Linked DNA regions of Rhinolophus ferrumequinum. The main gene of each other region encodes a partner of the protein of the gene in region 2 in a complex. Links are inferred from orthologs where the notes say so. Each region holds a gene or a part of one and is shown on either strand. Other genes may lie near its edges. The genes, in order: ITGAE and ITGB7.

The links.
Region 1: the proteins of ITGB7 (region 2) and ITGAE are in contact, whole or in part, in a cryo-EM structure (PDB 8ZJF), measured with the Homo sapiens proteins. The link is inferred for Rhinolophus ferrumequinum from reciprocal best matches to the Homo sapiens genes ITGB7 and ITGAE. Residues at the interface, in NP_000880.1 of Homo sapiens: Val201, Leu202, Pro203, Ser206, Thr207, Val208, Pro209, Ser210, Lys211, Arg213, His214, Cys216, Pro217, Arg219, Leu220, Glu221, Arg222, Leu255, Asp256, Ser257, Pro258, Thr291, Phe292, His293, Thr294, Ala295, Gly296, Asp297, Lys299, Leu300; in NP_002199.3 of Homo sapiens: Phe36, Leu38, Arg91, His92, Arg93, Gly94, Leu111, Arg113, Leu118, Ser119, Ser120, Leu122, Glu196, Glu198, Arg230, Tyr233, Glu234, Phe237, Glu238, Cys239, Asn240, Ser259, Gln260, Val262, Met263, Leu266, Arg300, Leu401, Gln403, Phe406.

The regions. Positions count from the first base shown.
Region 1 is NC_046304.1:14,722,832-14,738,370, reverse strand, and holds the start of ITGAE (integrin alpha-E), read right to left. Parts: upstream 7,755-15,539; 5' UTR 7,308-7,754; coding exon 7,274-7,307; intron 1-7,273. UniProt on the Homo sapiens protein: Integrin alpha-E/beta-7 is a receptor for E-cadherin. It mediates adhesion of intra-epithelial T-lymphocytes to epithelial cell monolayers.
Region 2 is NC_046293.1:53,120,447-53,136,202, forward strand, and holds the start of ITGB7 (integrin beta-7), read right to left. Parts: upstream 8,319-15,756; 5' UTR 8,074-8,318; exon of another isoform or gene 7,994-8,073; intron 7,374-7,993; exon of another isoform or gene 7,356-7,373; intron 7,105-7,355; exon of another isoform or gene 6,999-7,104; intron 2,490-6,998; 5' UTR 2,487-2,489; coding exon 2,286-2,486; intron 672-2,285; coding exon 470-671; intron 381-469; coding exon 210-380; intron 1-209. Other genes in the region: RARG (retinoic acid receptor gamma), read right to left, coding at 10,276-10,475, 11,216-11,374, 11,832-12,036, 12,425-12,601, 12,787-12,947, 13,606-13,747, 13,973-14,121. UniProt on the Homo sapiens protein: Integrin ITGA4/ITGB7 (alpha-4/beta-7) (Peyer patches-specific homing receptor LPAM-1) is an adhesion molecule that mediates lymphocyte migration and homing to gut-associated lymphoid tissue (GALT).

The DNA.
Region 1 (15,539 bases), on a different chromosome or scaffold from region 2:
AAGGAAACAAAAAGGGGGGAGTGAGATAAACGCAGGACGTATGGCAAAATCCTCAGAACTGTTTATAGAATATGCTTGCCAAAAACGTTTAACCTGAATTTAATGAGCCATGAGCACTAACTTCCAGGTTTCAGGAAATGTAGGGGATAGAAGAACAAATGTGCAAATCCTGAATGAAGCAAACATGCAAATCCTGAATGAAATAGTCTACAAGTTCTGCAATAAAGCAAAGACTTGAAAAGGACACACAAACCAAAATATGGGCGAGGGGGCTGCTCTAGATGAAGAGACTTAGCAACCAAATGTCAAGTGTGAACCTTGACTGGATCTTGACGTGAACAAACTGACAAAAAGCGACATTTTGAGATAGTCAGGAAGATTTGAACACGGACTGGGTATTAGATGATACCAAAGAATTACTGTTAATTCCGTTAGGTGATAAAAACATTGTGGCTATGGTGAGAAAACATCCACGTACTTCAGAAACGCGTACTGAAGTATTTAGGGGTGAAATGACATGATATTTGGGATTTGTCTTAAAGTAATGCTTCTGAAACGTCAACATACAAATGAATTACCCAAGTATCTTGTTAAAATGAAGCTTCTGACAGGGTAGGTCAGGGAATGGGGCTGAGATGCTAGTCTCACAAGCTCCTAAGTGATGCCCCACGGCTGGTCCCCAGACCAAATTTTGAGCAGCAAAGCTTTAAAATGTTTTGGCAAAGGAAACCAAAAGAGAGTGAAATAAACATAGCAGTGTGGTAAAATCTTGACAACTGTTATCTGGGTGATGGGGTTTTTGGGTTCGTTGTTATTTTCTTTGGTATTGTACATGCTTAAAATGTTGTCATTAAAACCCAACCTTCCAAAGGCTCCAGGAAGAGGTGCAATGTGAGAGGGCTCTGAGGGAGACCTCCCTTCCTTCGTCTCTCACTCCCGGTCCCTCTCCCTGAGCTGGCACACAGTGGGGATCTGTACTTTATTCCTTTCCCTTTCTACCTCTGCCTCGCCCAGAATGATGTGTGATGACTCATAAAAATACACAATACACTAAGATAAAACTTGCTTTAAAATAATGGGGCAGGTGGAATACAAAGGACAAAAGGAAAATAGTCATTTGCAAGAGGGGTGTAAAAACAAAGCGGTACAGTGAAACCAGGAAGGAGCTTAGGAACTAACCTGTACATCAACAAGTGCCAGCACTTTCTATGACGGGCCCCTCTTTTGTCTCTGAACACAGCACTGACACAGTAGGCGCTTAATAAAATTATTTGTTGAATAAATGCATAAATAAGTGAACTTTCTTGAAACCAACACAAGGATGAAAATGATCAGTTATATCATTTTGTGAATCATTCACAGGATTCACAAAATTGGAGGGGAAACCCAAAAACTACTCTGGTGAAGCTGAAAAAAAAAAACAGAAAACCAGAAAAAATTTCCCTGAGGGTTCTCTCAGGAAAAACACTAAATGAATAGGGACAAGACGGGTTAAAAAAAACAAAACAAAACCCTGAATGAATAAACCTGCACCCCAAATTTCCCGGAGTTGTTATTTGTGTCCTCCACACGATTGCCCCAAAGTAGAATGCAGAAAATTAAGCAGCCCATGAGCTCTTCCCTGTCTGGGAGCCATACACCCTTTGGGGATCTTATGGAAGCGTCAGAACCCTTCCCAAGCCCCGCCAAGTGCACATTTGCACAAACCTTGGCCTTGCCTGAGCGCTGCGCCTTGAGACTCTCTCCTGCCTTCCTCCTCATCCTAACCTAACTGTGTACCTCCTCCCAGAGGTCTTCCTGACCTCGACCCCCGCTTGGCCACTCTGTACCCCCACAAACCTTTTCTCTCACAGACTGAAATTACCTTGCTCACATCCTTGTTTACGTATTGCCTGTGACTGTCCCCTCACCACCAGTCCCTAAGAGCCAAGACTGTGTGTCATCGCAGGGCCTGGTATGGTGGCCTACACTGGTTAGGTACTGGATGGGTGAAGGGGGCTCACAGATCCCCTGCGGCCGACCCAGGGCCCCTCAAGGGCTCCAGTTCAAGACCCCAGGCGGAGAAGGGGGAGCACTGTTCTCTATGAACACAGAGTTTAGACAAAGGATGCCTGCAGGGAGTTTGGACTCAGGTTCCTCGGCCCATTGCTTGCCAAGCCTTGTGTTTCTTGATCAGCCAGGCTGGGTAAGAGTGGATATCAGCATCCTGACAAAGAGAACTAAGAAGTGAGAATTACCAGCTTCTGACAAGGGGTGATTGGAAGGCCTTCTTTTGCCCTTCTTACTGTCTGTGTAACTTAGACATGATTTAAAACTCCTGACATAAGTCAGGTCTCCTCAACTGGGTATTCATGGCACCTCCCTGCCCAGCCCAATACCCGCTCTGCCAAGTCTGCTCTCCAGCTACGTCCAGCTCCTCTCCACCCCACTCCTATACACCATCTGCACAGGTCCTACCTCGGGGCCTTTGGACAGGCCATTCCCTCTACCCAGCATGCCTTCCTCACCAACTGTCCTGCCTCTGCCCTATCCTTGGGGGCCCTGCTCAGGCACTCGCTGCCCTAGGAGCCAATCCCGATTCCCCACCAGAGTAACTCACTGGTCCCTGCACCCCCTCAGCCTCTTGTGGTGTCTCTGTCTGGCTCTGACTATATCCTCTCTGGGTCAGAGTGATCTGTGATTAAATTTGTTTCCCCCAAACTGTTATCTGCTCTGAGTCATCCATGACAACCCCAGCCCCCACCACTGCAAAGCCCAGCTCAATACACGGCCAGGTCCAGAAGAGGTGTCCTGGAAATGTCAGAATGGGCCAGAATCCTGTTCCCCCCCCACACCCCCATCCTCACCCCATTTCCATTTTATTCAACTGAGGGATCTCGGTGCAAGATCCCTGAAGGGTGGGAAAGGGGAGGAGAGGAGCAGAGAGACACTCACAGCGACCCTGACCCTTCCAATCCAGACCCTTCCGAGCACTTGCTGTCTTCCAGGCACCACGCTGGGTGCCGAGGCTCAGAGAGGTAAAGGGATTTGTGTCTGGGGCCCAGGTCTGTCTGATTCCAAAGCCTGATTAAAAGCTTGAGGGGTTGGTTAACAGAGAGCAGGGTCACAGCTGCCAGTTGTGCTAGCAGCTCACTGAGCCGGGGCAGAGCTCTGGTGTAGAGGGCTGCTAAGTAGGTTAGCGAACCTCCTGTGGAAGTAGCGTGGCATGAGAACCTGTGAGGTGGGAGTCACCATACTCGCTGAGCTTCCCGTCACAGCCGCCAACCCCTCCGAGCCGGGGGTCTGCCAGGGGTGGGTCACCTTGCTGGAGCAGAATCCCTCCAGGCCCGACATTAACCTTTGCTCGGGCTGTCCCTAGATCGGCTAACCCCTTCCTTTCTCACTTCCCACTGAGACTCAGAAAATAGCATGGGCCCCAGAGGCAGTCCTGAGTTCAAATCATTTTGCCACAGAATCACTGAAGGACCTTAAGCTTGCCATATCACCTAAGTGTCCCCATCTGCGATGTGGGGCTGTGCAGATCAAAGGCGGCCATGCCCCACCCAGCGTCTGACACGCTAGCGGCTCAGTGTGTGGGTGCCAAGTTAAGTTATAACCACAAGGGAGGGCTTCTCACGTTCTGACACCCTTGCCATCCATCCCAAACCCCCCTCACAGGCTGTCAGACATCACAGCCCGGATAAACCAGTGTCTGTCACCACACTACCCACACGGCTGTCTCCCCCAAGCTGTCCCCCACCATGTGGGCCTGCTGAGTCAGACTAAGACCCTCCCTCCATCCTGTCAGCCACCACTGCCGGCCCCTCCTCTCCCTATCTCCCCCACCACACTTGGTATTTTAAATACCTTCTCACAGCATATTTCCGCTTTAGCAAACTGAGGCCCAGGGGACATGCATTGCCCAAATTTATACAAGGAGCGAGCTGCAGACCCAGGATGAGGCTCAGGTGTCCTGACGCCCGCCCTCCCGCCCTCCACCCATTCCCTCTTCCCAGCATGCCTCCCTGGGCATGCAGAGCACCCAACAAGGCCTGGGGGCGGTCACAGCTCAAGGGCGCCCACAGAGCGCCCGACCCGTGGAACAGCTCACCCCTCAGCCCACCCACCTCGGTCTTTCCCACGGGAGCCTCAGCGTGTCAGCCCCAAACCTCAGCCACCCGAGCCCCTGGCCCTGCCTCACCCTCCAGGGTCTGCCTAACCATGGCTAAGAGGTCTTGAGCGCTGCCCATGTGCCAGGCACAGGGATAAGCGCTGCTGGGTTTTCTGATTTTCCTCCTAAGTGTCTCTCACGAGTGCCTCCTCCTGCCCGCGCTCAGCTGCCCCAACACCCCTGGCCTGAACCATGGCAGCAGCTTCCTCATTGGCTTCTCTGCCTCCTTTCTCCAGGACTCCACCTTCCACACAACACACAAGGCTCCCTGTCACTACCCCATTCGACACCTGCTGTGGCTTCCCATGCCACAGCTCAGGGAGAGGTCCAAGCTCCCTCAGCCTGACTGCTCACATGCCCCCCGTACCACACCCTCCAACCAACCTCCCAGAGAAGGTCGGAGACGCTGGCGGCACTCCCCACTCGGCTTGCCCACAAACACTGCATTTCAGTGACATTCACCTCTCACTAAAACGCCCTTTCCCACTCCCCCGTGTGTGAGACGGAAGCATCCTGCACTGGGCCCTCCTTCTGGGGCTAGAGGGGTCCTTGTGTGTGTGCGACCTGCTTTCTTTCCACACAGGGGCCCCAGTGCAGGGAAGGTGCTGCCCTCACCCCAGGGCCCAGCATGTCCCAGGTATGGGGGGGACAGGCAACATTAGAGGAGACAGCCTTCCGCTCCCACTCAAACTTCACCCTGTACTTCCCTAAACAGATTCCCCACACACCGTATCTTTCTCCTGCACAGAAAGCTCCCATCCCCCACCAATCTGTACTTGCTAAAAACTTCCCCAATCTCAGGGCCACCTCAGACACGTCCCCTTGCCACAATGACCAAGATTTTTTATCACACACTTGCACATAGGTCTGGAGCTGTGTCCCAGGCAGAGGCGGGTCTGATGCCTTTCCCGCTCGCCTCCCAGCCCCCAGCAGGGCCCAGCAAGACCACAGGCTTTAACCTGAAGGCTGAATGACAGCAGAGCAGGCCCTGGACGTCTGGCTCCGGCTCCTTCACCACTGTAAGGTTTTGTAGGCTGATAGCAGAGTTCCCTTCATAATTTGTAGGCTGTAGACTCAACCTCTGACCCCAAGAGGAGAAGTGAGTGGTTGTGGTCACAGAGTGAGTCAAGGGTGACGACTGACCCAGGCACAGCAGGCCATTGGGTAGCAGAGTGAGAAGGGACGGGGGGGGGGGGGGGGTATGGGCAGCTGCAGGCTCTCAGCGTGTCTGTGTGTCTGCGCCCAACTCTAAATTGCCCTCAATTGATGTTATCTCATCTGCTCCCATGGATGACAAGACGACATGACCACACTGGGTGGCCGGGAAAGGGCGGAAGGTCAGTCAGGCCAGAGCCGTTCTGGATTCTCCCTAACCTAGGGAAGCCCAGCCAGGCGCATGACATGGTCAGTCTAAGGGGGTTCCTCTCACTCTCCCCAGCACCTTCTTGTCACTTTCTCACTTTCCCCTGTCCTCAGGACTCAGCGCTAGTCTCACCTCCTCCAAGAAGCTCTTTAGGATTGGTCCATCATCCCTGTCTCAGGACCTCGGACCTTGGAACAAAACTCCCAATTTCCTTTCTCTCACCCAGACTGGAGCTGCCGGGGCCCTGCTCCCACTCACCTCCCATAACTTAGCCAAGGTGTGAGCTAAGTGATCGCATGGCAAGCCTGCTCCATCTTGCTCTCTACTGTCCATCAGCTCAGAGTGCCGAGGCCTCAGAAAGGGGGTTGATAAATATCACCTGGATTGACATTTCTGAAAAAGGTGCTGGGGGTGATGGCTGTCATTCCAGAGGCCACAGGAAACAGACAAGTAGGCGCCAAGTGACACCAGGGTGAGTGTTCCAGGCCATGGGGTATTCTAGAGCCGGAAGGCAGGACAGAGACCTAGGCTGGAGCCCCATTTCTACTAATGCTTGTAACCCTGCCTAGTCACTGCACCCTCTGTGGACCTCAGTCACCTCCTCTGTACTGGGAAGACGTGGACCAGAGTCTAAGCATCTTCTCCAGGCATTCTTGGTGTTGGGCAATCAAAGCCGTACAACACAAAACACTTGAGGCCCTCTCCATACCTGATACGTAACTGAAAACAAAGGTAAGTCTACACTGTAAAATCAGGAAAAGAAAGTACAATAAAGTTCTGACATTTCCACGATGATTGTTTTGCTGTTTTTGAAATATCATCTACTAAAATGTGTCCCACAATACATGCTTCGCTGGTACCCTGCACGTTCGGCCTGTCTCTTGGTGAGCGGGCCTCATGATGGATGCTAATCCCGAGGCCCCTTCCATCCTGGACTCAGCACTCAGACACTGGTGCTCACTGACAGGCCCTGGCCCATCCTTCAGGGAGAACTGTCTCCCAGGAGCTCTGACACTACTTCTACGGGACGTCCAGCCCATTCTTCCGTCACGCTTCTGACCAGAGCAGGAGACCCCAGGAAGCGTGCCCAGATCACCGGGCAGGACCACCCTGGCCTCGGGGTGATCTGAGCGGTGCCCAGGGGCTGGCTGACCAAAGGTGGGGTTCCGGAGGCAGGTACGGGCTCAGGGCTTGGCTGGCCCCAAGTGGCTTCCAAGGGAGGTTTAAAGACCAGAACAGGACCCCCACAGACACACACATACACAGATTCTCATACTGGAACAGGAAGCAGTATGCATTCACCCTCTACTACAGACACACACCTCTGTGGTCTCGGCAACGCTCACATTCGCAGAGGGTCCCCACCCTTATCAGCTGAACCCCTGGTCTGTAGAAGGGTGCTCTGCAGGAGGGAGGGGGGTCATTGTCAACCTCCACTCTGAGAACAAACTCTGCAGAGACCTGAGGACCTGCCCAGAGTGGGTGCCGTGGGGAGAGGGCCCAGGCTGGGGAGGGGAGGCTGGCTGGAGAAGGAACAGGGTGGCAGAGCTGTGGAGTCTGACGCCACAGGCCATCAGCGCTGTCACACAGCCTCAGGCGCCCTTCTGAGGAAGCCTGGATCTGACCCACGCAGGGAGAGGCTCTCCCTGGAGACAGTCCCACACCTTTCCTGATCTCTGGTTCTGACCCAGACAGACAGACAGACAAGGCTGTGCTGAGGGCATGGCAGCCCCTCAGGGAAGGGGGTGAGGCCAACTTACTGGTCACGTAGAGCAGAGTGTGGAAGAGCCACATCTTAGCTGGGGCAGAGGCTGCCTTGCCTGCTCAGCTTCCCCTCCTCAGCTGGGGCAGCCAGGAGGCGGGGACAGAGGCACATACAGGCAAGGACCCGCAGACAGGCACTTTCAAGTGATACAGACGCTCCCACTCTACACAGCTGGCTGCGTGGCTTCCTCAGCCGCTCGCTGGGGGCTGGGTCCTGGGAGCTCAGACACCGGCAGCCCTGCCGGTCACCCACACTTGGATCGGTGAGCGGTGCAGCCGGGGAGCACCGCCCTGGGTGTCCTGAGCGCAGAGGTCTGAGGCGCGGGAGCAGGAGTTACCCCGCCGTTGTGCACCGTCCATGGGAGTCCCAGCCCCCTGCCCCAAGGCCCATCACCACACACCTCAGCCCAGCACCCAGTCGCCTCAGCAGTGAGAATGGGTCCCTCTTCCTACAGGAAATGTCCCCACAGCCAGAAACTGGGCTCCTGCACCTGGTCCTGCACTCAAGGCCCTGAGGCTGTGGAGGGCCAGGTGAGTGGAAAGATCCAACGAGCTCACTGAAATCACTTCCTCAATTCAGCTTTGGCCGCATTCTCTCTAAACCCTGGCTGCAGCACCGTGATCCAGAACTAATTTAATAGAGCTCTGAGCTACCAGAACAACAGAAGAAGTGGAATTCCATAAATATTTCAGCATGCCTCTGATGCAAACTGCCAACAGTCTGCAGTCATATTTTAACGTCCCTGTGTGACCAAGTCTGTCGCCTGTCATAGAAGGAAGCTGCTCTCACACCCGTTCCACTGTTGACGCACAGAGCCGGGCTGTTCCCCAGAGTTCTGCCCTCACGTTCCAGACCTACACGGTGGTCAGGAGCCACACAGGTGGCAATGGAGCTCTAGACATGTCACCAGTGCAACCAAGGAGCTGAATTTTGAATTTTATTTAACTTTAATTATTTTACATTCAAAAAAGCAGGGGACTCTACATCTCTCTCACCGGAAGACTGTGAGTCCAGGGAGAGCAACTTTGAAGTGTTAATGTGTTAAAATACAGCAGACAATGGTGTTGACTTAACGACTAGATGAAAACCACGTTTATTTTGTTTCTCACATTAAAAGCTTGCTTGCCCGAAGTTTTGTAAAGATCGATGACACTTAAAACATTTCTGCATTGTCCGCTTTGGTCTGACAAAATACCTACAACTAGTAAGAGCGTTCCCCGATGTTACGGAGTTGTTCGAATAGATAGCAATTCACCATTTTCCACACTGTATATCCAAGAGAGAAATTAAACAGCTGAGAAAGCTAAGCTCCAGGTCTGACGATTTGCATCCCAGATCACAATGAAGACGATCCCAGGTCAGCTGACGGCGTCATAGGCCAGCCCTGGCCCGCCAACACCACCCACCACCGCCAGCTCAGGGACTCCCCCTCCCCACGCATGGTCAGTGTCAGGGGCACTTGGCAGAGTGACAAGCGGCTCCTCTCCCCACCACTGGGCTAGAGGGGCAAGCAAGGAGCCCCAAGCCACAGAGCAGATCAGCAGGACAGGCTAGAACCCGGGACTGCAGCTCCCGGGAGGTGTGAGAAGCAGAGCTTGGCGTTTGGAGGGCGAACTTCGGGACACCTCAGGAGGCCAGGCAACGCGGACGCCTGGCTGCTGCACCAGGCACAGGGCCACTTTCTGCATCTTTGGAGATGAGGACTCATCCACCTGGGATGTATTTATCCAAGCTTGTTGGTGCCAGTACGGCAGACCCACAGTCCTGAGCACACACAGGGGCCCTTCGAGCCTGTCTGACAGGAACTGCTGAACCCACAAACCCAAACTTACGGTCCCAAGGGCCAGGTACGCTATGGACAAGCCTGGACGTTCAGCAAGTGCGCACGTATCCAAAAGGAATTTGAAAACGACTTCCAAAGTTCGGACTTTAAACAAATGTTTAGGGACCAACTGAAGGGATATTCTACAACATAAGTGGACTGAAGTCTTTAAAAAACATTAATATCATCAAAGACAAAGAAAGGCTAAGGAGCTGTTCCAGATTAAAGGAGACTACATGTAGTGTGTGATCCTGGATTGGATCCTAGAGCAGAAAAATAATTGTTTTAAAAAACATTATTGGTTCAGTAAAACAGAGTACTGTTCCTGAGAATGGTAACCAGAAATTCAAGTCTCTGGTTATGGCCAGAAAGATAAGAGGTGAATGGTTTGATTGTGGAGAGTTACATGGAGGGCATGAAATCTAGCTGGAATTTATTTTCATTAAAAACAGGGGGAAAAAGTAAAGTCATAAGATATAATACACTGTAATTTGGGGGGGAAAAACATTATTGCGACAGTTGGCAAAACTGAAACATGAATTATAGATTAGATACTACTGATTAGGTAAAATTATATGTTTCCTGAATTTGATTACTATACTACGGTCATATGAGAGAATGTCCTTGTTCTTAGGAAACGTACACTAAAAATTTAGGGGGTAAGGGACATAACCTATGCAAGTAACTCAAATAGTTCACGGTTCAGAGAGAGGTAAAGGAGAGGGGAGAGGACGAGGGAAAGAATAAATAAAATGTGGCAAAGTGTTCTTTATTCTACAGTTGAAAGGTTCTGCAGTTTCAAAATAAAGTTTTAAAAGTTACAGAATGGAAGAGCCGTGTTGAGCATGAAGTAAAAGGACTAACTCCTCGGAGAGTTGAGAGTGAGCCAAAAGCACTGCTACCTGTGCTCACCAGGAGTGGGGGTGTCCCCACAGCCCTGCCTCATAGCTCCCACACCAGAAAACGTTTCTAATTACCCACTTGCCTTCTGAGTCCTAGGAAGCTGGAAAGAGGGAATTTGGAAGTCAGAACGTTACCGACACAGGAGCCTAGCGCGAGGACTGCAGTGGAGGAGAGCTGGCAAAGAGCAGCTAAGACTGAAGAGCAGCACGTAGTAATCCCTTCCGTTGTGAGCGCTCAGGCTGGCGTGCCGGCCTCTGTGCCAAGGGCCTTCCATGCAAGCCCTCAGCTGACCCTCAGGGCCACCCTGCTGGGTCATCCCCATTCCACAGATGAGGAGGCTGGCTCGGAGACAGTGGTTAAGTAATTTGCCCAAAGCCATATGGCTAGTAAGTGGCAGACGGGACTCAAAACTGGTCGGTCTCCTCCAGAACCAGGACTCTGAACCACTACAAACCCCAGTGCCTTTAGATCCATGGTCTAAATCCCTCCCATGAGCTATTAAAAAGCAGGGACCTCATTCCACAAACATATACTGGGATCCTTGTATTACTGGGTGCTGTGGACTGACCTGTGTCCCCTCCCCGACTTAATCTGTTGATGCCATAACCCCCAATTTGACTATATACGGAGATAGGGCCTTTAGGGATAATTAAGGTCTCAAGGTCGGGCCTAATCCTAGAGGCTTGGTGGTCTCAGAAGAGGAAGAGATCCCGCTCTCCATGTACACGCACCAAGGAAAGGCCACGTGAGCAGGGAGAAGATGGCCACCTGCAAGGCAGGAACAGGCCTCACCAGAACCCTAGTATGGACTTTTGAACTTGGACTTCTGGTCTCTAGGCTGTGAGGAAATAAACGTGTTGTTGAAGGCACCCAGTCAATGGTAGCCCAAGCGGACTCATACACTGGGCTACCTCCTAAGAAAGCTCCCAAACAGTCAGGTGTGTGTGTGTGTGTGTTGGGAAAGGGGGCCTTCGTGGGGAAGGAGCAAAGGAGAGGCTCCTTGTGTCCTTTCATAACTGAGGGGCTGGAGGAGGGGAGTTTGCATTGGGTCATGGAACCCAGGGTCCGAGGGCGTAGACCTCAGGCTTGCCCCTACCCTGTTTCCTGTCCAGCTTCCAGTCCTCATGCTCCTTGGCAAAGTACAGCGAAGATCCTAGAACTCACATTGACACTAAAAGGACACTGGAGATCATCTCAGTCAAGCCCTTCATTTGACAGGGAAACTGAGGTCCAGACAGGTGAAGGGACTCGCTCAGTCGTTTCCGGTTTGTACATGAGACAGAGTGAATTCCCAGCCGCAGCCCCCATTCTATGTGATCCTCCGTGAAAGACACTCGACCTAAAAGCACTGCCTCCTGCTCACAGGCTCCCTGAGGAACCCTTATCAATGACAAGAGGGGACGCATCGCAGTATAAAACCACACAACCCCAGGAAGGAACAGGAAGGCCATGTCCCATCTCTTGCCAATCGTGTGGGCCTTTTGCCCTCAGTAACCCCCAGGGGAGACGGTGGCAGTCTGAGGTAACACAAGTCTTAACCACTAAAGAATATGGCCATCCAGAGGGTCTCTAGAATTGCTTAAACAAAAACAAATAAGAACCCCAAGGCAGGGCATTGATTTTGGTAGGTTAAATACTACCCATACTCTAGTTTTATTTATAGCACAGCAAAGTCCCACTTCCATGCCTTGTAACTATTTGAGATAGGTTTTTGAGCCAGCATTTCCTTAATTGCTCCAAGGAACATCAGAGTTCTGTGAAATGTTCATGAATTTCATTTAAAAAAAATGCTCCAGTATTTTTTTCTAAGATTTATTATATAAACATGTAAGAGAAAGTCCTGGTAGTTGGTGGTCAGATCACACAATAACAATCAGCCTTGAAGCAAATGTGCTACTCTCAAGATTACAAAAACACACTGTCCTTTTAGTTCTTAAAAGAAAAAAGTGGCGTAACTTCTAATTTCCTTCTTGTTACACAAGATTTAAAAGCAAATAACTACACATCAAACTCACTTGTGCAGCAATTAAGCTGTGAAGCCATGATTTGGTGTTAACTCGAATCCAAACTGCCTGCTGGCATTTCCGCCTAACATTAAGAATGCTTCCTGTGAGAGCTGCTTTAGGCAAAAAGCTCCATGTCCTCGGGCCTTCTCTGGACTGCCGTCACTTTCTTCACCAATAGGATCAGAGGCTGAACGGGCGCAGCTGGTCCCTCTTGGGGGCCTCTCATCCACCTGCCAGCTTCCTTCCCTGCTCTTGGGGGGAATGAACACCTTCTAAAAAACTATTCTGATCTACGTTATTCCCTAGCAAATTCTGTATAGAGCTGGGTGAGCTTCAGCTCAGACATGGCCAGACCACCAAAATTTGAATTTTATTGAGATCGTATTAATGAGATTTTTTTTTTTCTTATACAAGTACAGTGTGTGCACTTCTGATTCATCTTCCTCCTTTTGGATCTGCTGGTCTCAGCTAGAAGTAAACTGTAGCCTGTAGACAAAAGGGCCACAGCAGGGTTGGGTTACCACAATTCATTCATTCACCGAACACTTCTTAAGCACCACTTACTCTGTACTGGCGTGGTGGGAGGATAGAGAAATACCATGAAGACACCTGCTCACCAGGAGCTCACAGGCTAGCAGGGAAAACAAAATGGGAAAACCAAGCGCTGTGTGTACACAGCAGACAAGCAAGGACTAGCCTGCGAGAGGACCCCAGGGCCTCAGAAGATGGAGCTGCTCCTGCAGCTGGTGACACACACATTCTCACACGTCTATGGGGGACCCACCAGGTGCCAGACGTGGTACTAGGACCGGGGAAACCCCAGCAACAAGCCAGACGTGGTCCCTGCTCTCACAGAGCTTACAGTCTAGCAAAAAGACAAAGCAGGAACAGGGAATACAATCCAGTGTAAAGGTGTACAGACATTTGGTATTTTACACACACTTCACTGAAGCAAACACAATGGAAAAAAAGAGACAGGAAAACAAAAAACCGTTTTCGGTCCTTTGGGCCATTCCCCCTGCTCCTCCACTCCCTGAGCAGGGAGGCCAGAGGCGAGCTCGTGCTCTGCGGCTCCTGTGGCCGGCTCAGTTCCCAAGAGCCTCTTTCAACGCGAGCTTCTCGCCTGAGTGTGATTCTGACACCTACAAATAAGTGTGTTTTACACCACATGGCCCTATATTGCAGACCAACACTTTACCTGGTGCTCAACCAAAGAAACCGTGATCTGTTCCCACAGGGCAGGCACCAGCTGTGCTCACATGGACCTCGTGACGATGGTCTCCAACATGGCACTTTCCTCAGGGTTTCCTAGAGGAATTGCGATTACTCAATTTTTATCGGAGGCATAACTTTCTAACCTAACCCTGGAATGAGCTGAGACTCCTACGTGGCAGTGCTGTGGGACACACACAGGGGCCCGTAACCTGGCTCTGGACGCTGGGTGGCAGGAGGGGGCCAGGACCAGGCGAGGCTGTCGCTGTCGCTGTCGCTGCGGGAACAGCACTGAGCAGGTGTGAAAGGTTGGTGAGATCAACGTGGGTCCAGGGAACTCGTCAGCAGGGGCCAGGGGAGCATGAGGCACACAGGCCAGAAATACGGCCAGAGGCCAGATCCTAACCAGCCTTAGGAGCTACGAAAGGAGTTTGGAATTTACTCCAAGGGCAATGGTAAAGAAAGGTTTTAAGCAGAGAAATAACGGGAATGACATTCCTACAAAAGTTCATCCTGAAGCACATGAAAAGAGGCCCCGTATCGTTAGTCCTCAGGAATATGCACATCAAAACCACGAGAAACCAGTTCACATCAGAAAACAACACGCGCTGACACGGATATGGAGAAACCGGAACTCCCATACACTGCTGGGGGAAATGAACAACGAAACAGCCCCTCGGAAAGCAGTCTGGCAGTTCTTCAAAAGGTTACAAAGATCGAGTTACAGTCTGACCCAGCAATTCCACTCCTAGGTGTGCAACCCAAGAGTAAAGACAACATATGTCCATGTAAAAATCTGTACAGGAATGTTCACAGCAGCATTATTTGTAACAGCCTAAAAGGAGAAACAACCCAAACGCCATTATCAGGTGAATGGATAAATAAAACGGGTACAGCCACACAGTGGCCTATTCTTCAGCAATAGAAAGAAATGAAATACTAACACAAGTTACAACATGGATGAACCTTGAAAATATGCTTAGTGAGAAGAAGCCAGTCACAAACAGCCACAAAGCGATGATTCCATTCGTATGAATTGCTCAGAACGGGCCAATTCAGAGACAGAAATAGTTAGCGGGTATTGGGGAGAACAGGGAATGGGGAGTGACTGCTACTGGGCAGACGGTTTCTTTTCCGTGATGAAAATGCTTTAAAATTGAGTAAAGTGATGGTTGTACTTCTGTGTGAACATACGAAAGGCCCCTGAAGTGTACACTTTAAATGGGTGAATTGTATACTATAAAAATTGTATCTCAATAAAGCCGCTAACAACACGAGCTCACGCCGGCTGCAGTGTGCAGAACAGAGGGCGAGACGGGGCAGGGGCGGGAAAGAGGCTGCGACAGGGATGGAGCGGGAGACGACAGAGGTTGAACTAAGGGAAGGGACTAGAGGGATCAGACTAGAGGAGGCCAGGTGAGGAGACTTCATGCCTTGTGGGGGCTCCACAAGTTCTCCTGTAGCTGGTACCTCTCCCGAGAGGTAGAGTGGGAAACAGAAATGAGGTATCTAACTATTATCGAGCAGCAAAAACGTATTTAAAATCTCGCACATGTAAAGACTACGAGCAATACAGAAACGCAGGAGCCCTTCTGTCCACATACGTGAAGAGTGCGCGGGATAAAAGCCCAGAGCTGCCTGCCAGGGCACTGCCCTGCTCATTCTCCCCGCCAGACTCCAAAGGAAGGGCCTGGGCATTCAGGGCCCGTGTAAGATATTGCAGAATCTGAGTGCCTGAGTGCAGGCTGGAGAGCAAGAGAGGCTAAGGCAGATTACTCAGAAACTAACTTAATCTTTACAGATACTTTTCTGGGTTCTGCGTGTTTGTGAGAATTGCCAGGCTGCTGAAGTGGGCCTTTTTCTTGGTTAGATCAAAGACCCAATTTTGACTACACACCACCACCCTTCCAGAAAGTCTTCCCTGATCTCCAGCAGGAGACTGGTCAGAGCAAAAAGGCCATGGGACAGATGGGCCTGAACTACTGCTGTTAAAGGACCATGACTGGGAAACACAAAGGAAAGCCCAAGAGGGGGCACTTTCTGAACACTGCAGAGACCACAGCGGTTGGGACCCTGACCACAAAGACGTCTCTGTCGCCCTGGAGACTGGAATGGGGTGGGGGTGAGTCCCCACAAACTCACACACCCTCAGTTGTCTCCTTGACCCTTCCCCCACCTGCAACAGAAACCAGTGCTGGCCAGCCCACTGCAGCCACCACTGAGGGAAAGCGTCAAACACCACTGACAAGCACCAACAAAGCCAGAAGCTCTGCTCTCAGCCCATTCACATGCTAGATGGGGAAACCGAGGCCCAGGCC
Region 2 (15,756 bases):
TGTAAAACAAGTGGTCCTACTGGACTGTCTCTTAAATCCCCTCCAGCTCTGACCAAGAAGATGGATGTCTTTGGGGAGAGAGATCAGCAACCAGTGGCCTGTTAAAAACTGAGAGAGGCACGTGGGGGCCCTGGTGCTGGCAGAGGCTAAGGCGGTGGTTGAAGTTAGAGGCAGAGGACTGGCAGGTGTCTGGGCGGCGCTCCACTCACCTATGCGCACTGAATGGGTGACCTCCTGCAGTCGCACCAGCAGGGCGTGCCCAAGCTGGCGCACGAACTCCAGGTCGTCTTTCATGGAGTAGCTCAGGTCCATAAGGTAGTACAGGTCCACAGGGTATCCCTCAGCACGGAGGAAGCGGACCCGGAGCTGCTGGGGCTCCCCTGGGGGCAGGGGTGGGGCAGTGGGGCGTCAGCAGGGCGTGTCGGTTCCCGCCCAGACCTCTGCCGCGACCCCTCCGCCCCTCACTCACCGGGCCGCAGCGTGACTCGCACCCGCTGCGGCGCCAGCTGGGTGGCCCCCTCGCCGCGGACGCCCTGGCTAAGCGGCTCATCCTCCAGCACCTCCTGCCAGCCACGGGGCTCCTCCAGGTCCTCCGGGGGGCAGCCCCGAGCCAGCAGCTCCTCTCGCCTGGCGCAGCGCCGCGCCTCCGCCTCCCCGGACGCTGTGAAGTTCTATGTCGCAAGAGGGGGCGCATCGGAACCCTAGACCCTACAGTCCCCCAGCCCTGCTCCCAGTCTGCGATCCCAGCCACTTCTAACCTCTCCCCCTCAGTCAGCTCCCTGAGCCCCTCGATTCTATCCCCTCCCCTTCCACAGCTACTCCTGAACCCTGACCCTTTCTTCCTTGTCAGAGCCACTTCCTATAGCACCCCTATTCTCCCTTATCTCTACTTCCCCCCTTTACCCAGCCACCTACCTTTACCCTCCCCCTAGCGCCACAGACTTCCTATTGAGAATCTCAGGGACTTCACTACCGCAAAAAAAAGGAGGCTGGCCTCGTCCAACCACCTCTTGATGCTCAGGCTGAAATGGGGATCAAGCTAAGACCCACAGTTCCTGGGAAGGGAAAGGATAGGGACAGAAAAAGAAACCCCTTCCCCCCAATATGTCTGGTACCCCTGGGACTGGCTGGGAAACCGCAGAGGAAGGAAATGGTTAGAGTGATGTCTCAGCTGGCCAGGGTGCCAGCCTATGGTCTAGGGATTGGAGAAGGCAGACATATACCCGACTGTCCCAACAGACTCCACCTGCCACCTCTGCTCTCTGCCTCCTGTAGACTGAGTCTTCCCTTCCAGCCCTCCCAGATTCACTACGTGCCTTTCTCCAGGGCGTGCTTAGCCTCTGTAGCTCTGACTCCTAGTGAGTTTGCCCTCATTCCTTATCTAACTCTCCATCTTCCTGTGAGAGAGTTAGGCCACCTTTATGTTCGCCACTCCATGAACTCTGTCTCCTTTAAGGCATAAACAAAGAACAGCCTTAATTGATTAGCCAGGAAGACACTGGCTCCCCAGCATCCTTTTGGGCCACTAAGGTAGCGCAAGCCTTTCACCCAAAGCCCACAGGCTTCCACTGCCTTCCCTTCTACCCTCTCAGTCACAGGCTGCTACATACCCCTGCCACCCCTCAGCACAGACTCAGAAACCCAAACATACACTTTCTGCTATGGATTAACCCTCAGTATGATGGTATTTGGACATAGGGCCTCTGGGAAGAAATTAGGGTTAGATGAGGTCATAAAGGTAGAACCCTCCTGAGGAGATTAATGTCCTAATGAGAAGAGACACCAGAGAGCTTATCTGCAGCCCATCTACTAAGCCAGGAAAAGAGCTCTCACCAGGAACTGAATCTGCTGACACCCTGACCTTTGCTTTCCTAGTCTCCAGAACTAATAAATTTCTATAGCTTAAGCCACCCACTCTATAGTATTTTGTTATGGCAGCCCGAACTGACAAACTTTCTCATATGTATACATGCATAATAGATCCCTCTACCTATACACAAGCATGTGTTCCAACAAGAACATACTTCCTCCAAATTCAGTCACAAGTCTTGTCCATATATACACAAACACACAGATACACACATAAACATACATGCACAGGGACGTTGCGTGCATGTTTATGCACACATGCAAACACAGTCACACACAGAAGTCCTGTGTGCACAAACTTAGTCACTCACAGGACTGCAGAGTACACCCTGAAAAATCACACATGTGCCCATACAATCACAAACATATATCCAGGCTGCACATACACCTACACATGGCTCATAGGCCATTTTTACCAGTTGCTTGCACCATGCACAGCTTGGATGTGAGAGGATGCACTTCTGGCAGGAAGAGGCTGGTTGGCAGGACCCCGGCAGGGACCGATCAGGATCCCCCCATTCTGTAGCGTCCCCTGGAGATGAGATCTTGGTGTCCAACTCACTCTCACTTCTGCTCAGGACCAGCAGGAAAACAAGGACCATTGACAAAGTCACCATGGTCTATAATAGGATATAAAGGGGAACACATGGGCCATCAGGGAGGACCTCCCCACCCAACTTCTCAGTCCTCTAAACTTAGCCGGTGGTTGTTACTCTCAAAACTCTACCCCAATTCTTTATCTCTCCTCATAGTTTCACTTCCCCTGTGGATTCAGTAGTTTCTTCAAAATGGCAGGAAGGGGTAAGTACCAGGTCATGGAACGGGCCTTGGAGAAGACCCATCCCTTCTGTGTGAAGATTTCAAGAGTCCAGCGTGGGCAAAACGGCCTACCCAAGAGTCTGGGCACTGGGCCTGGAGGCACTGAGGTCTACACACAGGTCTGTTCACCAAGATTCCAAGTCATGGAAGAAATAGATCCAAATGGGAAACAGACCAGGTTCTGGTCCTGCCTCAGTCACTCATTGGCTGTGTGTAAGTCAGACTTTCTCTTTGAGCCTTAGTTTCCACATCTGTAAAGTGAGGGCATTGAATAATCTGACAGCTCTTGTAGCTCTTAAAATCTTGGATTCTATGTAAGGAAAGAGGATCAGAGGCCATAAATAAGGGGGGAAAGTCAGAGAGTAGGAATGAAAAGAAAGAAAGCTGGAGCAGATGAGGGAGTGTGTAAGAGGCAGGGAAGTTTAGCTTGTACTTGATTGACATGGTAGCAAACGGAACAAAGATTAAACCATAAGAAGCACTTTCTAAAAGTCTGGGGTAACTGAGGCAGGAAGGCCAGAGGTTGTAAAATCTTTTCTCTTCCTCTACTTTGTGCAAAGGAAATCTGGAGTAGAGAAAGAGCCAAAAGGCAGGTCATTCCAATTCCTATGACCTCTGGAGAAGACTAGGCAAATTTCTGATTTTTAAAAACTTACTAATTAAAATTTTAAATAGTCAATCCATTACCACATTTCAAAAATTAAAAAGTGAAATCCCAAAGGCCTTTTTTACAGAACTGGAAAGCTGATCCTAAAATTTGTATGGAATTGCATGACTAGCCTAAACAATCTTGAAAAAGAATGAAATAGGGAGACTCACACTTCCTAATTTCACAAGTTACTACAAAGGCCACAGTCATCAAGACAGTGTGGTGCTGGCATAAGGACAGGCTTATAGATCCGTGGAATATAATTGAGAGTGCAGGAATAAATCCATCCATTTATGGCCAATTGATATTTGACAAATGTGCCATACCATTCAATAAGGAAAGAATAGTCTTCAACAAATGGTGCTGGGATGACTTGCTATCCACATGTAAAAGAATGAAGTTGGACTCCTACTTCACAACATACACAAAAATTAACTGAAAATGGATCAAAGATCTAGTGTAAGTACTTAAACTATAAACTGATAGAAGGAAATATAGGGATAAATCTTCACAGTTTTGGACTTGACAATGGATTCTTAGCTATGACATCAAAAGCACAAGCAATAAAAATAAAAATAGATAAATTGGACTTCATCAAAATTTAAAACTTTCGTGCCTCAAAGGACACTATCAAGAGAGTGAAAAGACAGACCACCAAATGGGAGAAAATATTTGCAAATTATGTATCTGCTTAGTATCCAGAATATAGAAAGAACTTACAAATCAGCAACAGAAAGACAACCCAATTTTAAAATGGGCAAAGGACTTACATAGACATTTCTTTAATGAAGATAATTAAATGGCTAACAAGCACGTAAAAAGATGCTCAACACCATTAGTTACCAGGGAAATGAAAATCAAAACCACAATGAGATACCTCTTCATACCTACTAGGGTGGCTATAATTTACAAAAAAGGAAAATAAGTGTTGATGAAGATATGGAGAAAATGGAATTTCCATCGTTGCTGGTGGGAACGTTAAATGGTACAACCACTGTGCAAAACAGTTTGGTGATTGTTCAGTAAGTTAAAGCATAGACTTACCCTATGACCTGACAATTTCCCTCCTAGGTATATTCCTAAAAGAATTGAAATCAGGCGTTTAAAGAAAAACTTGTACATGAGTGTTCATAGCACTGCTACTCACAATAGCTAAAAGGTAGAAACAACCCACTGTCCATCAACTGATGAATGGATAAACAAAAGGAGGCATATCCATACAATGAAATATGATTGGGCCACGAAAAAGAATGAGGTACTGATACATGCTACCACATCAGTGAACCTCGAAAACATACGGCATGAACGAAACCAGTCATAAAAGACTACGTACTGTATGATTCCATTTATATGAAATAGCCCGACTGGACAAATTCATAGAGACAGAAACTAGACTAGTGGTCGCCAGGGGTTGAGGAGGAAAGGAGGGTGGGGAGTGACTGCTTAATGGGCAGTTTCCTTTTGAGGGGAAGAAAAAGTTCTGGAACTAGATAGCGTTTGTGGTTGCGTGGCATTGTGAATGTATTTAATGCCACTGAACTGTGCACTTAAAAATGGTTAAAATGATAAATTTTATGTGTATTTTACTAGAATAAAAAAAGTTACACACAATGGGATTTATAGATGATGTAGTACAGAATTGTACACCTGAAATCTATGTAATTTTACTAACAATTGTCACCCCAATAAATTCAAAAAATAAATAAATAAGTAAATAAAACACACACACACACATATATATATACATTAAAAAAAAAGTTAAATAAGAGAGTGAGAAATCTTCCATTCCTATCCCCCGTCAACCCTAGTTTCTACCCATTCCAAATAAATAATCATCATTTATTATCTTTTGTTGCCTATAGTCTTTCTAGAGATTGTTTTATGTATATACAAACTAATACGACCATATATATGCTTTTCAAATGGTAGAATCAAATAGTAGAACTGTACAAATAGTAGAATACACACAGTTCAGCATCTTACTTTTTTTCTTTGAACTATTTTTCTTGGAGATCCTCCTACCCAAGAAAATAAAGAACTTCCTTCTTCACTTTTACAACCATGTAGTTTTCCATTGCATGGATTTATCATAGTGTAGCTAGTCTCTTATGATGGGGATTTAAATTGTTTCTAATTGTTCGCTATTATAAATAATGCTGCAGTGAAAATTCACATACTTATCATTTCACATGTGTGCAAGTGAAGCTGTAGGATAAATCCCTGGAAGAGGATTTGTAGGGTCCATAAATAGGTGTCATTTGTAAGACTGGTATTGCCAACATAACCTCCTCTGCGACTGTGCCAGCCTTCATCCCTGTCAGTGGGGGATGAGAAAGGCCCCTGAACTCCTGGTCCTGAAGCACCTGCCTCCTCCTCAGCCTACACTCAAATCCAGATGCTCTGCACAGAGTGTGGGAAAGGGGTGGGGTACCAAGTCGTTGACAGCCCCCATCGTGCTCCCCACCACCTGTGTGACCTCAGGCATAGAATGCATCTGTAACGGATGCTCCACCGTCTCTTGAGAGACCAGCCCAGGGCTCCGCCTCAGTGTAACCTCAGCCCTGCTTGCTCTGCACGCTGTGGTCAGGGATGCTGGGGATGTTGCACCTCAAAGCCCACTTTTGACTCATCTCTCACAGGTGGGGCCCCCGTGCCACAGTGGTTTCCCAGATAAGACAAGCCCAGAGAACTCAAGCCCCACTCATCTCCCCTAAGGAGGGCTCTGGGACTCCAGGACAGCCCACTCCAATCCCCTTCTCCCAATTCCCCACTCTCTTCCTGGTTCTGCCCTCTTTGGGGACATGTGACCTGCCACTTGCTTCTCTTAATCTGACTCACTCTCCCCTCCCTAATCAAAAACTGAGGAACATCCTTCTGCGGGTTTTCTCTTCTGTTAGAGGCAGAACAGCGACTGAGACGGGTCAGGCGCCGTGGTTGGTTTGCTCCTTTCCTCCCCTCCAACCCAGGCACCATCATCATCAAAAGTTGTGCCCTCTCCCCACTAGCTCGCATGGGCTCTACCTAATCCCCTTTCTCTTTCCTTGGGGGACTTCTTCATCTTCCCTTCTCTCCCTCCGTGGTTGTCCCATTTGCCTGGACTCAATTCTGACTCCAATACACACCCTACTTGTTCCCTCAGCAACCGAGAAACAGAGCTTCTTCCCAATCCATCCAGACCTTCCCAAGTCAAGCAGAATCCTCTGCTGCCCCCTTGGAATCACAAGGAGGAAACAGAACCGGACCCCTGGGCCACAGTCTCCCAGGAGTGTGGGATCTGTGGCCAAGCTGCCAACTGGAAGGAGGTCTGCACTGAGCACAAGGCATTAGGCAGCAGGAATGGCATCTGGGGAGTAATATTGGGAGAACCCCACCTTGACATAATCCTTGGCACATGGCAGGCACTCAGATGATAGCACTCATATATTCCCCCACCTTCTTTTCCTCCCTCCAGCCCCATTCTTGGGAAACTGATGCATGAGAGGTTGGGGGAGGAAGAGCTTGTGAAACAAGACAGGGGACCTTAGGAATGCAAAAAGGAGTTCAGAGCCTTTCCCAAGTTTCAACTGAAACCTGGGCGTCAGAACCCTCTTCCCGGTGGTTGGGACCAGTTGGGGCCTGGACGAGTAAGGGGAGGCAGGAGGGCTGGTGCCCTGGTACTCACAGGTGCCAGTAGAGCAGCCTTTCCTCCAGCGTCAGCGGCAGCCTTTGTGTACTGATCTGGGAGGCTGCAGAGGAGGAAGTGACACACCCCGGGTGGGGGAGACTTTGGGGTAGTGGGGGTAACTGATCTAGAAAGTGGAGCAGATAGGGGTGGAACTGGGCCAAGGGAGTTGATGATACAGTGATCTACAAAAAGAAAGCGAGGAAGCTCATCTATTGAGCACCTAATAGGTGCTGGGTGTATCATGATGTTAAAATTAATCCTCACAAGAACCTCATGACATAGGTGTTAGTATCTGCCCAGCCCCCTAGTTTTTCACAGATGTTGAGGCTTAGAGGTAAGAAGTAAAAATGTTACCTAAGGTCACATAGCTAGTAGATGGCTAGTCTGGGATTGAAATCCAGGTCTGCCTGCCTCCCGAGTTGATGATCTCTCCACTTCCTCATATAGGAACAAGATAGGAAGAAGTATGGAGGCAGTAAGTACTGTAAGGGGGACATTAATGGTCCATTTGAAAATCCAGTGCCCACAGTATCATAGTAGGTGCTTAACTACGTAGGCTCGGGAGCCAAACTGCCCAGGTTGAAATCCTGGCTCTATCCCTTACTAATAGTGGGACCTTCAGTAAGTTACTTACCCTTCTTGTGGCTGTTTTCTTACCTGTCAAGTAGAACTCATAGGAGTGTTGTGAGAATTAAATAATTCATACAATTAAATAATTCATGAGATAATTCATACAATTGCTTAGAAGAGAACCTGGAACATACTAAGGGCTTGATGAGAGAATCAGTGGATGAGACGTAATGGGGTGAAAAGTGGAGAGGCTTTGTGAAATTCAAGGTCCAGAGAGCTGGGAAGTTAGAGACACAAAGAATGAGACTGGGGGCCAAGGAGCCAAGACAGTAGTGGAGCCTGGGAAAGGGGTGGAGGAGGCCACCTGGGAGAAGCAGAGACTACAGGATGACAGCTGGAGCTGGGGCAAGGATGAAACCTACCTGTAGGGAGACCGGAGTTGTGGAAAGTATTCGCCCCTGGCCCACACCTGACCACAAGGAACCCTGAGAAGGAACTAGACCTGAGCTCTGTGTTCATAGGTCCGTCTCCTCTCCCAGAAGTAGCACTCCTTGCAGGCAGGACTGCCCGAAGCCACAGCACCTAGCAAATCTCATAGCAGGTGCTCATCAAACGGCAGATGGATTACAGAAGTGTAGCTCCTGGGAGGAGCAACCCGGGCGAAGGGGTTCCTTCTCTGGGTGGCCTTCAGTTGGCCTCAGGCTCTGGGCCTTTTTACCCTTCCCCCACCAGCAGAGGTTACTATGGCAATGACCCCTCCTGCCACAGAGTCCCTGTGGTTTCCTTCAGAGCTTCTTTCACTTTCTTCTTCTGCTTTTCCCCACTCTTGTCTCCTCCCTTACTCCCACATCCTCAGCCTCTCTCTCCCATTTGCATAGGTCATCGGTGAAGAAAGCCAGGAACAAGGTAGGCTAGGCACTGTCCCGGGCAAGAAGGTGGACCAGCGCAGAGGGAGGAGCAGAGGGAGGAGGGGGCGGGGTGTGATATTGAAGGGGTGTCACAGAGGGCAAGGGGAGGATGAGTATAGAGCACAGTGGGACTTGTAGGGGCAAGGAGAGAGATTCGAACAGAAAGGAACAGTGGAGTCATGGAGTGAAGAGAGTAAGCTCAGAAGAAACAGAGTGACACATCGATGAGAGCGGGAGAGCTCATGGAGTGAGGTGTTGTTATAAAACAGAAATACTGTAATTTAGATACAGGCCGTGGGTCTTTTCTTCTGGGCCAGAGACCCCACGAGAACCGAATGAAACTTCAATGAACCCTCTCCCTAGAGATTCGCATATGCAAAATGGGGGCGGGAGGGGGGTAGGACAGCTTAAAGACCTCTGAGGTCCAGTCCTGCCTTGCCAGACGCAGGAGTCCATAGGGTTGATAGAAGAATGCACTAGTAGCTGTGGGAGGCCCAGACACTCAGGGTGGGCCCTGTGGGCTCCCTTTCCCCCCACCCTACCAACCCCTCATCCAGACACACTACATCCTATTTCCTTGGTTCCCCTGAGAAAGCTGCAAAATCCAGTAGATTAGGAGCTCCCCTCCTCACTCAGGCCCTCTCCAGGTCAGCTGCTCCTTTCCCCCAATGCAGTCTCCTCCTCCTCAAAGGAGCCACATCCCATGAGTTTCCATCACTTTATTTTGCAAAAATAGAAAACTCAGCAATATGCGATACAGCGGGGTGGAGGGGAGATGTAAACAGAGGGGAGGGACAGCACCCTGACCCCCCAGAGAAAAAGGGGAGCCAGTGGGAATCTTATTTGGCAACTAAATACAAACTGGGGATTGAAGGAAGAAGGGAGGGGTCACAGGGGCCCTGGGCTCCCCCTCCCAAGACCCCTACAGGAAGGGGTCAATTCCAGGGTGTAAACAAAAGCTAATAAATAAATAGAGGCTTCCTCTGGGTCAGGGCGGGATCAGCTAAGCAGCACCCACCCCCCTCTCCCTGGGCCAAGCTGCTCTGGGGGCCAGGGAGGAAGGCACTAGGGGGAGCCGGGTCCCCTGGCCCCTCTGTAGTGTAGGAGGGTCCCTGCCCCGGTGGCTGAGATGGGGGGCAGAGGGAGCCCAAGGCACATGACAGGGCTGGGGCTTATAACGGAGGGCACAAGGTAAACTCTGGGCCCAATCAAAGAGGTGCAGAATGGACCTGCATCTGTCCCTTTCACCCTCTGGCCCCCCACAGAAATGCAGGGCACAGTCTGCCCCCACCCCCAGTCTGGAAAAAGGATGGGGCACAGAGGGCAGCGTGCACCCGGCAGGTGCATTACGCAGCATGAGGCACCAAGGGCAAGGGCAAGAGGGTGGGCTCAGCCCGCCCCCTATGCCCCCCTTTTGGTCTCTAGTGTTCCTGTTTGCTCCCAGAGGCCTAAGCACCTGGCAGAGGAAGAGGCTGTGGAATGGCAGGGTCTTCCTCCTGCCTGGGGGAGCCTGAGACCCTGATGTCTGAGGGCCAGTGCTGAGATTTTAGAGTCTAAACCCAGGCTCACCCCTCTGCCCTCTCTAGTGGGAGCAGGGCAGGCCCCCAAGAATGGAGAGGGAGTCGGTTAGAGCAGGAAGGGGATGAACACAGAGGCACCCCTGGAAACTTTGGCAAAAACAAGGAGCTCGCTGGAAGGAGTGGGGAGAGGGCAGAGCAGGTCCTCCCCCAGTCACTGGTGGTGTCTGGGCGATGGTCAGTCTGCCGCCTGGAACCCCAACCCCACGTCAGGGGAAGTCAGGGGCCCTGGTCAGGCTGGGGGCTTCGGCCTCCTTTACTCTGACCCCCAGGAACCTCATCCTCGCTCGGGGCCTTAGGGTGGGGACCAGTCTGCGAGGAGTCGTCCTCAAACATTTCAGGATTCTCCAGCATCTCTCGGATCAGGGGAGGCATTGGGCCTGGAATCTCCATCTTCAGGGTAATGGCCCTCTCTGCTCCTGCAACAGAGGGGTAGCGTTTCAGGGCAACAGAGGCACATGTCCCTTGAGGCCACCTACCTAACCTCTCTCAACTGCCCTGCTACTCCCCTCTGGGGGCTCCCAGCCCAAGCCTGCCACCTCTCTGCCCCAGCTCACCCTCTCCCTAATTTAGGGTTGCTGGGGTCCACTCCTCTGCCTAGAGCCTCTACCTGTCTGCTCTGCCAAGCTGCTGCAATTCGTCTCATTCTTTCAGGCTATCTTCTCAAAGATCACACCATTCCCCAGCCACACCCCCCTCTGATGCCCACAGCTTGTCAGTTGTCCCTAAGCCTGATCTGCATAACACTAGTAATAACACCTACTATATATCAAACACTATCTACCAGGCAGCCTTCTAAACCAGCACTGTCCTGTAGCATTTTCTGCGACGATGGAAATATCTGCTCTACCCAATGTAGTAGGCGTAGCCACATGTAGCTACTGAAACTGAGGAACTGAGATTTTAATTCAGGGCAGTTCTAAGCCCATTGTGTGTCAACTCATTTAGTCCTCACAATAATGTATGAGGTAAGTATGAGCATCGTTCAGTTTACAAACAGAACAAGGTACAAAAAGTAAAGGAATTTGCCCAAAGTCTCCCCACTAGCATGTGACAGAGCTAGATTCCAGCGCAGACTGCCCGGTCCTCACCCACTCAGTTCCTGTCGCTACCTGCCCAGCACCTCTGGGGAGGGCGGGGAGGCTCCCTCGTGACTCACCCTTGGTGCTGATGCCCCGGAGGTCAGTGATCTTCATGAGCATCCTAGGAAACATGTAGGGCTGGCTGGGCCGCCGCCGCCGCGCATATAGCCTCAGGGCTTCCAGCAGTGGCTCTTGTAGCTTGTCCACTTTTTCCGGTTCCTCCAGGTCCATGCGGTCTATGTAGACAGCGCAGTGGAGTGAGAGAGGAAGAGGTGGGGCAGCCAGTGACAAGTGGCTGATCCCCAACTGGCCCTGCTGTAGGGGCCTCCAGACCCCAAACGTTGTCCCATCAGCCCCTTGCCTATTGGCCCTGAGCCCCACTCAGGCCGTCTCCCCTGGCCCAAGCCCGGTACCTTCTCCCCTTCAGTAAGAGATTTGTTCTGGTAAATCACTCCGGCCCAGACACCTATCTCAGCACCAGTATCTGGAGTCTCCTCGGCTCCCCCTGGCTCTACCCCTTTTAGTCCTATGTTCCAGGCTGCAGGGAGCCTGCGTTGGATCTAAGAAGTCTGTGGATGAGGCCAGACAGAACAATCCCAAGGGGACGGACTCAGGTCTCCAGCCTGGTCAGAGATCAGGTGTGAGGTGTGGTGGGAAAGGAACGCAAGCAGACACCAGGGGGCGCCGTCGCACCTCCGCAGATGAGGCAGATGGCACTGAGCAGCCCGGTCTCTGTGTCATCCATCTCCAGTGGCAGGAGCTGCCCAGCAAAGGCGAAGACGAGGTCTGTGAGGGGCCCGAAGCCAGCGTTGTGCATCTGTGTCCGGTTCAGGGTCAGCCCGTCGGAGAAGGTCATGGTGTCCTGCTCTGGGGTATACCTCGTGCAGATCCGCAGCATCTGGAGGTGCGGGGGTAGGGTTAGTGCTGTCTCTAGAGAGGGGCAAATATGGGGGTGAGGATAAAGAGGGAATGAGGTGCACACAAAAGTGAAGAGGTTAGGTCCAGAAGGAGGGCCACCTGAAGCACTCAGGGAGGAAGGCGGAGAGGAGGGGCGTCTGAAGCTTGGGGAAGGAAGAGAAGTCCGAAGGAGGCAGGGTGTCAGAAGGATAGGATCAGGTTTTAGGGGCCGGGGTTAAGGAAAAAAGGGCTTGAGTTTAGAGGAGATCTGGGGAGTCCCAGATTGGAGGGGGAAGGAGAGAGAATGAAATCTTTGTGTGTACCAATTCCTTGGTCCCATAGGAGGGTCAGGCTGTGGCGGAAGACAGACCATAGGGTTATTAACTTACCAGGATGTCCAGACAGGCAGCCTTGAGCAGAGTGATCTGGTCAGCGATGCTGAGCCCTGTAAAGCCGGGCAGCCGCTTGGCAAACTCCACAATCTTGATGATGCACTTGGTGGCCAGCTCACTGAACTTGTCCCACAGCCCCAGATCCAGCTGCACCCGGTGGTCTGCACTGGAGTTCTACAGGGAGGGCAGGTGAGCATGTAAGCTAAGATCTGCCCTGCAAGCTGTCTTCTTTCTGCCGACACCCCAAAAGCACTCCCCTCGGCATTCTGATGCCCTCCTTATCCTCAGCACCAGACCAAGGGCTCCAACACAACCCCGACCCGTTCCCCAAAGTGAACAGTCCCCTGCCCACTCCTCACCGTGGTGTATTTGCCCAGCTGGCAGAGTGAAGGGAAGGTCTCCTGATGGGCTTTGCTGACCTTGGTGATGAGTTCTTCTAACTGGGGGCTCAGCTCATAGTTGTCAAGCGACCCTTCTTCTTTCACCTCTTTCTTCTTCTTGTTCCGGTCATTCCGCACAGCTTGGGGTGGAGGTGCAAGGAACAAGTCAGGACCCTCAGAAACTCCCTCTGGATATCTCCTCTTGCCCTAATTTAATGCTCAGTCCTAATCATGAACATCTATTCACCCTGAGACCTTAGTCAGTGCCTCAGTTTCCCTATCTCCTACATTAGCTTCCATGTCCAAGCTGGCTCTCCCTAACCCCACCCAGGGCCTACAGCCCCTTCTCCCTCCCCAGGCCATTCGGCTCCATCCTGCCCTTCCTGTCACCCTGCAGGAGCTGGGGGGGAGGGGGGGCAGGATATGCAGGCAGCAGGATATCCACTTATAGCCTTGGCAGCACAATGGTGCAGGGCGGGGGCACCCCAGATCCACCACAGGCTCAGGCCTGGGAACAGGGGAGGGAAGGGACTGGCAAGCCCTCCTCTCACTTCTCCAAGAAATGGGAATGTGAGATGGTAACCCCCATTCACTCATTCAGAGGAAGGGTTAATTAAGCCCTGAGATGGGAGAATGCGGGGGCTTCCTAGGTGAATGGCGCTAATCAAATAGGACTGGCCAGGGAGGAAGCAAGCTAGATCTCAGAGGTCAGGGAAGTAGGGGTAGCCTATGGGAAGAGGGTGGCAACCACAGGCTAGGACAGGAGTGTTCCTGCCCAGGCCAGGGCTAGAGGCCTACCTTCCTTGGACATGCCCACTTCAAAGCACTTCTGTAGCCGGCAGTACTGGCAGCGGTTCCGGGTCACCTTGTTGATGATACAGTTTTTGTCCCGATGACATGTGTACACCATGTTCTTCTGGATGCTGCGTCGGAAGAAGCCCTGGAGTTGGGGATGGGGGGAGTGGAGTGTCAGTGAAGCAGGGTGCTGGGAACATCGGGCCTTGCAGGTTGCCCAGGCCTGACCCAATCTATTAACCACCTATGTGCAAAGCAGGCCCCTCCCACCTCAGAGGGATACCCACTCACACACAGCGTCTTAGCCCTGGTCTCTGATCTCACCAGGTAACTCCAGTTGCCCAACGCATCCACCCCACCACATACACACCTTGCAGCCTTCACAAGAGCTGACCCCATAGTGGTAGCCAGAGGACTTGTCATTGCACACGAAGCACGGCTTGTAGACCCGAGGAGGTGGTGGGGGCGAGGGCGAGCTGGGCACCATCTCCTCCGAGCTAGTGCTCTGTGTCTCCACCGCTGGGGGGCAAGCAGTGTGATATGAGAGTTGGGGGAGAAGGACCCTTCAGATCTCCAGGCAACCTCATCATACACACACACCCATTCCCACTTCTTCCTCCTGCTCAGTAATGACAACACCATCACCACCACAGTGATTTAAAGTCCCAAAAACCATGGACAGCCCCGTAGTAAACATTTCCAGAAACCCCCAAACAACCACGATTACTGCACCTCCTAGTCTGGCCATCTCCCCAACAATAACGCCAGCCCAAAGCTTACATGACACTGTTCAATTCTCCATCTGGAAGCTAACTTCTCTGGGCCTCAGTTTCCCCAGTTATAATGTAGGTAGGTGAAGGGGTTATGGCCCACGGCTCTGAACTCTTTAATCACACCCGCTCACGTTGATTGATCCTTGTCAGATAATCTGCCTCCTACCATCCTCCTCCACATGAGGCAATAGATCTGGGGGTGACAGGCAATTCCAGGCCACCTGTAGCTGGCACCTGGCTAAATGACCTGTTGGGATACCCAGTAGGTAGAACAGGACCTCATTTTCTCTCCAGTAGTACAGGGTAGATAATCCTCTCTTTTCCCTCTCATACTGCCTACCAAATAACCGCCAACGTCCTTTTCCCCAGAAACCATTGAGACAGTGGAGCAAATGGGACACAGGTATCAAGAAAGTAGGTTGCAGGCTATGTAACAGCCTTATTTTACATCTGAAGGAACTGAGGTCAAGAGAGGGAAGTAAGCAGCCCAACGCCACACTGCCCGTTGACAGTGGAGCCAAGGCTCTCAAATCTTCTGACTAGATCTGAGTGGCCTGTGAGGCACAGAAGTTGGGAAAGAGGAGGCTGAGGTATTTGCTCAGATTCTCAGGTCTAGATGCTGTTGGGGGTATAGCAAACCGAGAAGTCAGGTGACACTGGGTAAACAGGGCTGTTGGGGGAGGGGAGCTGTTACTGGACCTTCTCTGGGCCTGTCTTCACTCCTAAGCTTCCCCACAGATACCCACTTGCAGCTCCAAAGGGGTCTCAGCCCACGCCACACAGAGTGTGTGAGGAGGACACCCTTTGTTCAGCAAGCTGCTAAGTAAACGTTTTTTTGGGTGTGTGGTTGATCTTCAGAGGCTGGAAAAATCTGTAAACGATTCAACCTGTAGGACCTGTTCCCCAAAGCTGGAGGGCCCGAGCCATGCAAAACCCTCAGACCCTCCCTAAGGAGTGTCCCACTCACCCACCTCAGGAACATCTTCTTATTTCTAACCGCTGCAGCCCACCTGGTCAGAAGTCGCCCCATGCCCCAGAAGGGCAGAAGGCAGGCCCAGGAACCCTGTCCCAGCTAGCTCCACCCACCCCACAGGAGGGAAGCCCTCCCGCCCCCCAAACACAGGCAGACACTCAATTAACATAAGAATCCTGTTGGAGGGAGAGTCCCCAAAGAAAAAAGGAGAAAGAGGAGTGGAGGAAAGTAGGGTGCCTGCAATCAATTCTGACTGAGGGCGGGAGACTCCTGGAGGGGCTGGGGCTGAGACACGGGCCGGTTGGAATGCCTTTCGGGACCCTTCCTGGTATCCTCTGAGGGTACATGTGCCACTGTGCTGGGTGGTGCTGACTGCTGACACCCTCCCTGCCCGCAGAGCGCTGCCTC